2 linked regions of the Macaca fascicularis genome follow. The protein of the gene in region 2 purifies or fractionates together with the protein of the main gene of each other region. This does not show direct contact. Links are inferred from orthologs where the notes say so. Each region holds a gene or a part of one and is shown on either strand. Other genes may lie near its edges.

Region 1 (3,813 bases), on a different chromosome or scaffold from region 2:
TGAAAATGAAGCCACTTAAACAGACTTCTTACACGACTGTACAGAGCTTATTGAACTGTGTCCTTCATCCCAAGAACAAATGCTTTTCTTTCTTTTCCTGCTAGGCCTTTTTTGTTTTTTTTGAGTCAGAGTCTCGCTCAGTCACCCAGGCTGGAGTGCAGTGGCGTGATCTCCGCTCACTGCAAGCTCCGCCTCCGGGGTTCACGTCATTCTCCTGCCTTGGCCTCCCGAGTAGTTGGGACTACAGGTGCCCGCCACCACACCTGGCTAATTTTTTGTATTTTTAGTAGAGATGGGGTTTCACTGTGTTAGCCAGGATGGTCTTGATCTCCTGACCTTGAGATCCACCCGCCTCAGCCTCCCAAAGTGCTGGGATTACAGGCATGAGTCACTGCGCCCGGCACCCCCTGCTAGGCCTTTTCTTTCATTCAACTCTGTATCTTAGACTCTACCAATATTTCAAAGATCATCTCACAAAGGGCCTTAGAAAAGTAAACAACAATACATAATACCCATTCTTGATGCACTCTAAAAATCCACTGGAAAAACCTAGAATCAGAAGGACAGTTTGTTTAACATGACCAGGGTCTACCTCAAACTGCTGCCAGCATCAAAATTCATGGTGAAACATTATAAGGGTTCCCATTAAAATCAAGAAGAAAGAGAGTTCTGCATCTTCTAGTAAATGCAAGAAGTGAAGAAATAGAAATAAAAGATAAAGCTACTAAAAATTTTTTTAAATCTACCAATATTCCCAAATGACTATCTCTTCAAAAATACAACAGTACTTACATATAGCATAAAAATTTATATATAGTATAAAAATGTGCTGTTATTAAAACATAACATAACCACAAGTAGCCATATTAAGAAATCTTCAAACCTGCAAGAAGGAAATATTGCTTGCCCTATGAGGAAACCAGTCCACCTACAAATCAGGATGCCTGCCTTCATATCTGAAGTTGCATTATGTCTCCCCTTAGAAAAGTGCTCACAGTAATTTAAGCATCAAATATTCTCTGATTTTGGCTAGACAAAATGAACAGTGAAATTCTCTGAAGGCATCTTGTGAGATACACAAGCGCTCCTGTGATACACCTAGACAGGGCTATCTGCAAATGGTCATCCTCCAGCACAGGGAACCAATTCCTGTCTTAAGAGGTCACGTACCACCAATGTGCGCAAACACAATGTGCTCGCTGGGGCTCGAGGGTCAAGAGCAGCTTGCAAGTCCCAAACTTTAATTTTCCTAGAAAGGGAAATGAGATGTGATTAGTGGAAAAATGAACAATTTATATGCTGTCAAACATTTCCTTGACAAAAAGTAGTGCATCTGAACTGCCTATTTATAAAAGCTAATGGGGAACATGCTTATGTTTTTACAAATCATCTGAACCAATTACACTTGACTTCAGAAAAATTAAGAACCAACACATTCTCAGAATTGCTGAAATTTTAAAGAAATATTATTTTAAGGGAGATAAGAAAACAACTTCAGGTTATCTAAATTCAGTTCCGGACCTGATAACCTGTGTCACCAAGTTCATTCATCAGGGGACTCTCTAGGGCTGAGGAGGTGCTGCTGACAGAAGCTAGGGCTCTGTGTGAAATTCCAAGGATACCTTTCTCCAAATTAAGCAAATGCTGGAAGTTAGTAATAGGAGTACAAACAGACCAACCAACCCATTTGGGAAGTATATATAAGGTCATCTGGAAAGATTTACAGTTGCCATTTGCCCATTTAAAATATAGTGAGGTGTTTTAAAGAGGGTTTGTTCAATTTACCAAAAGGGGAAAAGAAGAAACTTATTATTGAACACATGAACACACACACACACACAGAGAGAAAAAGAACACACATACACACACACAGAGAGAAAAAGAACACACATACACACACACAGAGACAGAGAGACAGAGAGAGAGCGCCTGGCTTAATTTAGGGGTAAAGCAAAGAAGTGAGTACACTCAACCTCAGCTATTGCTGGAGTTTACAACAATGACTCAAAGCATAAGTTTAGGAACCACAGTGACTCTGCCTCTGTCATTTGAGGCAAGATTTAGTTCTTTCTGGGCCTGAGTGTCCTCACCTAAACAACTGGTATAATAATACCTGCCATCCACCACTACACAGAAACCTACCATAGGACCTGGTACATACAGAGTTGCTTAATATACAACATTTCTTTTTCTTGTTGATATAGTTATAGCAGTACATCTGAAAATCTGAAAGACATACCCATCATAGGCCCCACTGACAATCCTCTTGTTATCAAACCGGATGCATCGGACCAATTCTTCATGTCCCTCTAGGACTCTTAAACAGGCACCACATTCAATATCCCAGAGCCTTAAATGAAAAACAGACCTCTGTGAAACAATTTCCCACACATGATTCACACTATCTGTAAGTTTTTTATATCTGTTCCATACAGATATAATTTTTCACTATCTTGGAACTCTTTATTTCTATCTCACTTCCAGTACACACCACACATATAAAGCTATATGTATACATTTATACCATCTGTGTGTTTCCAAGCACTAACCTAGGAGGAAGCCTTACTTTTTATTCTATTTCCTTTTATATGATTTGAAACTGTTTTTAATCCTGTGCCTGTATTACTATTTAAATAAAATCAACAAACAAGAAACGTCAATTCTATTTAGTTCTTAGGCATTCTCTTGATGTCTGAGTTGATAAAAACCATGTAGACAAATGGTGTAGGAAAGACTTTTCTGGGGAGACAGGGATTGTAGGCAGTAAAGGAGAAAAAGCACAGATGAGACAAGGTGGGAAGGGAGATATCACATACAGCCATCGGGTAAAGCTTCCGCCCAAGGTAATTCTAGCACAGTGGAGTCCATGAGGACCGCTGAGGTTAGAACTGGTGGACCAGCAGCTCTCTCTTGATGAGGCCTGTGGATACCCCTTCCTTGATACTATATGCTGAATACTGGAATTGATGTACAAGGTCAGAGTGGGAGACTGATTAGGTACACGCAGTGTTCTGGCGGAAATATAAACCCATTGACTACACCAAATCTTTTTCTCTGCATATAACTCCATTCTGGAGTTAGAGATCTTTTTTCCTATTATGACTGATTTTCTACCGTATTTGCAGAAAAAAAAATCATAGCTAGTTAGCATGTACAAAATAAAGTGAGCAAATTAATTCTATCATAACTTTTTCTTAGCCTCTCTACCAGTAATTCCTATGATACATCCAAAGATCATTTTATTACAGCTGCCCTTAGCAAATCTTAGTACCCGTGATGACAGCATCTCTAATCTGTGATCAAAGTCATTCAGTACTGCCTCTATGACTCCAAAGTGGTTCTCTTCTATAAGCTGCAGAGTAATACACATTACTATCTTGTAAAACCTCAACAATTCCAGTGAGGAGGTTAAGAACTGTTTACTGATGAAACATTAAGCAATACCACAAAGCGTGACGAATATAAGAGAATCAAGATTTAAGCTCTAAACTAACTTTATGGTATCTTAAAGCCTAAAATGATAAAGCAAACTTAAAGAGCCGTTATAGCTTTTTTGTTATTTGCTTGCCTTTAAAAAAAAACTTTGTAATAATCTTAAACCCAATCTTTATTTTGAACGAACATTAGGCAATTTGGTTATAAACACCAAAGTTTAGTAAAGCTTATGTAAAGCTACTAGTATGTGTATTTTTTTTTAATAATCTTGAACCCTATCTTTATTTTGACCAAACATTAGTCAATTTGATTATAAACCAAAGTTAAGTTTAGTCACTTATGTAAAGCCACTAGAGTGTGTTAAGACAGTGGGGAAAT
Region 2 (4,460 bases):
GAGGTAAATTCCATTATTAACCATCGTTCTTCATTCTTTTTTTTTTTTGAGATGGAGGCTCACTCTGTTGTGGCGGCTGGAGTGCAGTGGAGCTATCTTGGCTCACTGCAACCTCTGCCTCCCAGGTTCAAGCAATCCTCTCGCCTCAGCCTCCCAAGTAGCTGGGATTACAAGCGTGCCCCACCACACCCGGCTAATTATTGTATTTTTTAGTAGAGATGAGGTTTCACCATGTTGGTCAGGCTAGTCTTGAACTCCAGGCCTCAAGGGATCTGCCTGCCTTGGTCTCCCAAAGGGCTAGGATTACGGGCGCACTAACTTGTCCAAGGTCCCACACTAGTAAGCAGCAAAGCCAAGATTCAATCTAGCTTAAAGTCTTCCTTGAAACAACTTAATGCTGACACTTGCCTACATAATGGTGGAGCAGTCATCCAAACCCAGGTCTAACTCCTGTGTGACAAGGATGGCTCTCAAAACTGCTGCAGTGCAGACAGGCTCTAGAAAAGCGGGGAATAACAAGTGCTCTGGGGACTGCGAGGAAGAGGCATTTAAACTGCATCTTGAAGGAAGAAGTACTTGCTGGACAAAAAGAGCCATCATGCAATTTAATGTTTGTAAAATAAATGAAAAATAAGTAACCCTATCCAACGAAAGACTTTTAAAAAGATGGCCCAGTAATGAAGAGCAGAGAAATTAAACTTTCTTTCCCACAGCAGGCTTTAAAGGGACTGAAGCCTGCTATCACTTGCCTGCTACAGCTAGGGCTTCTAAAGCCTCCAAACTCTCCTTACAATTCCCCCATTTTACCTGTCCCCAAACCGGACAAGTCTTACAGGTTAGTTCAGGATCTGCGCCTTACCAACCAAATTGTTTTGCCTGTCCACCCTGTGGTGCCCAAACCGTACACTCTTTTGTCCTCAATACCTTCCTCCACAACTCACTATTCCGTTCTTGATCTTAAAGATGCCTTTTTCACTATTCCTCTGCACCCCTCGTCCCAGCCTCTCTTTGCTTTTACCTGGACTGACCCTGACACCCATCAGTCCCAGCAGCTTACCTGGGCTGTGCTGCCGAAAGTCTTCAGGGACAGCCCTCATTACTTCAGCCAAGCCTTTTCTCATGATTTACTTTCTTTCCACCCCTCTGCTTCTCTCCTTGTACAATATATTGATGACCTTCTACTTTGTAGCCCCTCCTTTGAATCTTCTCAGCAAGACACCCTCCTGCTCCTTCAACATTTATTCTCCAAGGGATATCAGGTCTCTTCTTCCTTACTCTACTCTTTACAACAGGGCTTTACGCAGTCACCCCCGCCTTCTTGGACTGCACTTCACAAACTTACACCATTATCCATTATCTACCCAACTCCTATAAAGCAACCCCTTCCCCATCTCCCTTCGCTGACTCCTTTTTAGATTCAGTCTGCCTGCACCCAGGGGATTAAAAAGCTTTCTTGCTCACACAAAGCTTGTTTGGTGGTCCCTTCACACAGACAGGCTTGACAGGTTTCATTAGAAAGTACTCTTGATGAAGGAAATTAATTTTGACCACATATTTTTAAAAATCAACAAAGAATCGATAGGCGCAATTTGCCTTTTGTAACATTAAAAATCAGTTAATTCTGACTTCCAATATTGGTTTCCTTCAGAGACCTTTGCAAGACACTCTTTCAGGTCCTGAAACACAGCCACTGACACACCAAAACGAGCTGGGGAATTCAGGTTAAGAACTAGAAGGAACAGGGGCCCGAGTACAAGTTGTGGCTCAAACGCCGCAGAGCTGGGTTTTCTTTTTCCTAGCAAACTGATTTATGACCACACGAAGGGCAGCTGCAGAACCAGTTAGACTATAAGTACTGTTCCCAAACAGCCCTAGAGGAAGGACCATACAGGGATGGGAATGGCAAGGGGAACTCTGGGGGTCATCGCTTGTTCCCAAGTTCCGTGAGACGCCTCAAGTCCTAATTCTTGCAGCAGCCAGGGTCCCCATGGATCCTGCTGCCCAAAACGTGCGAGCCCGGGGAGTTGGCACAGCCTCAAGGCAGCCCGACAAGGTGCCTCCACGCCCCCTTGCGGACCCAAATGATTGAGGACGATGTGCCAATTAACTGATAGGTGCAGGGTTTCAGAAATGCTCTCTCAGTTTAACCCCACAAAAGTCCTTGAAATGAGGCGTGGTGATCAGCCCTGTTTTACAGATGTAAAACACCGAGGCTCAGGGAAGTGAAGGAAGACTTGTCAGCAAAAAGGAAAACCTAGTGAAGGCCATCGTTGGTCTTGCTCCTTTTAGCAAGGAGTAGAGGGGCTGGGGTCTCCTCGGGACCTCACACCGACCCCTCTTGCTCTCTTGGCGGACGAGGCGCAGGCTGTCAGCCGGGAGGCCTGGCGGCGTCCAGGTACACGGGAAGACGGACAGCGCGGTGGGTGCCAGGGAGTCTGTCGGGCATAGGGCTGCAGCAGCCAGGCTAGGGCGCAGCGCTCACCACCCGCTCGTCGGCTTCTGCCAAGCAGCCCCGCGTGGCGAGTCCTCAGGGACCCGGGCTGCAGCCGCTAAGCGCGGGCGCACCAAGAACCATCCACGCGCCTGCAGCCGTCCGGGCGCCCCACGCGAGTCGCAAGCCACGAGCCAGGGAGCGCGTGCGCGCAGGACTGCAGCGGGCACGCGTTGGCAGTGCCATCGTGAGCTCATCCGCTGTGTCTCTTGCCTTACCGTAGCTGCTCCCCGGTGACCAAGACCTCAGCCATGCGCTCCAGCTCCCTTTGCTGCGCCCCGCCACTCCCGCTGGTACTGCTGTCACTGGCAGCACTGCCAGTGTTGCCGCCCTCCTCCATGGTTGGGGCCGTGCCGCTACCACTGGCTCCGCTGTCCGCCGAGGGTTTGGGTGCTCGGATCAGTCTGCCCTCACAGACGCCTCCCGCGCCATCTTTGTTCGGGGCAGCTCCTCTGCTCTGAGCGGATTGGCTGGAGAGGGAATCCCTGTGGGTAGGCAGACGCGCTGTGCTAGTCCGGCCCCAGAAACTTGAGCTTGGGGGCGTGGCTAGAGCCCCTCGTGGTCGGGGGGCGGGGCCGATGGAGCAAAATATAAACATCTGGGCGGGGCGCTGCTTCCGAGCTGTGTGTGCTGCTGGAGGCTGAATTTGGTGAGCTTCTCTTTACCCACAAAGCTCATGCTGTAGAATCCTAGGGACAAGCCTGGAGGTTACTAGTGTGAAGGCGTTGTTATTCTATGTTCCATACCCCAAGTTGCCAAAGAACAAAACATAATTCAACAATCTGGCCAAATAGTCAACAGTGAAGGTTATACATGTCATTGCAGGGCATGGAGAAATTAAACATTCTTCTCTCCCCAACCTCTCTCACCAAAGACGACTTGTTTGTCTTATGTTGTAATCAATAAGGAACGCAGGCCTAGGAATCAGTCGGACCTGGGATCCAGCTCCACTCCTGTGATGTCCTATTTAAATGTGTTTAATCCTCCCTTACAAAATAAAAATAATTACGGCGACCACTTTTTGACATCTGCCGCATTAAAGATACTTCAGATATGTTCTTACCTCGTTTAATTATTACAATAAATCATAAAATGGATATTGGTGTTTGTTTTGCATCAGGATGCAGGCTTGGAGAGGTGAAGTTACTTTTCTAAAGCAAGCAAGTAATAAGTATAAGAAGAGCCGGGCACAGTGGCTCATGCCTATAAACCCAGCACTTTGGGAGGCCGAGGCGGGCAGATCACCTGAGGTCAGGAGTTCCAGACCAGCCTCACCAATATGAAGAAACCCCATCTCTACTAAAAATACAAAATTAGCCAGGCGTGGTGGTGCATGCATGTAATCCTAGCTGCTTGGGAGGCTGAGGCAGGAGAATCGCTGGAACCCGGGAGGCGGAGGTTACTGTGAGCCGAGTTCGGGTGAGCCAAGTTAGTGCCATTGCACTCCAGCCTAGGCAGCAAGAGCGAGACTCCGTCTCAAATAATAATAATAAGTATAAGAAGAAATCTAACCCAGGCCATTCTGGCTTCAAAGTTATGCTTTGAAAAGACTGAAAGACTGCCTCTTAAAATGGGGATACAATGGTATTGTCTACCCATAAAAGATCATGAAAGGAAATTTGATTAGTACCAAATAAATGTTTCGTTTTTCTGTTTCATGCAGAGTTGGAGTTGGTCTGCAGGATGGCGAAGTAATGTTTATGTCAGTATTCATGTGTGTTGAGCATTTATTCTGTGCTTTACATTGTGCTAAACACCTTATCCTCACAAAACCCTGGAGTTTGGTATTGTTTTCAACTTACAAATGAGAAAGCTTAAGTATAGAAAGATGAAGTAATTTGCCTAGAAAGTTAGGCAGCCCTTAAACCCTGGTTCCGCAGATTCCCAAGGCCATACTCAGCCCCACTCCAGAAAAAGAATAGTTGTCTTGAGCATCCATGAGCAGACCAGCTCTGACTCTGCATGAGAC

What was found.
Region 1: the proteins of DEPTOR (region 2) and FBXW11 purify together in Homo sapiens (affinity purification with western blotting; 4 studies listed by BioGRID, with this or other methods). This does not show direct contact. The link is inferred for Macaca fascicularis from reciprocal best matches to the Homo sapiens genes DEPTOR and FBXW11.

The regions. Positions count from the first base shown.
Region 1 is NC_088380.1:178,660,077-178,663,889, forward strand, and holds part of FBXW11 (F-box/WD repeat-containing protein 11), read right to left. Parts: intron 2,351-3,813; coding exon 2,240-2,350; intron 1,250-2,239; coding exon 1,171-1,249; intron 1-1,170.
Region 2 is NC_088382.1:129,483,670-129,488,129, reverse strand, and holds the start of DEPTOR (DEP domain-containing mTOR-interacting protein), read right to left. Parts: upstream 2,951-4,460; 5' UTR 2,832-2,950; coding exon 2,710-2,831; intron 1,258-2,709; exon of another isoform or gene 1,058-1,257; intron 1-1,057. UniProt on the Homo sapiens protein: Negative regulator of the mTORC1 and mTORC2 complexes: inhibits the protein kinase activity of MTOR, thereby inactivating both complexes. DEPTOR inhibits mTORC1 and mTORC2 to induce autophagy.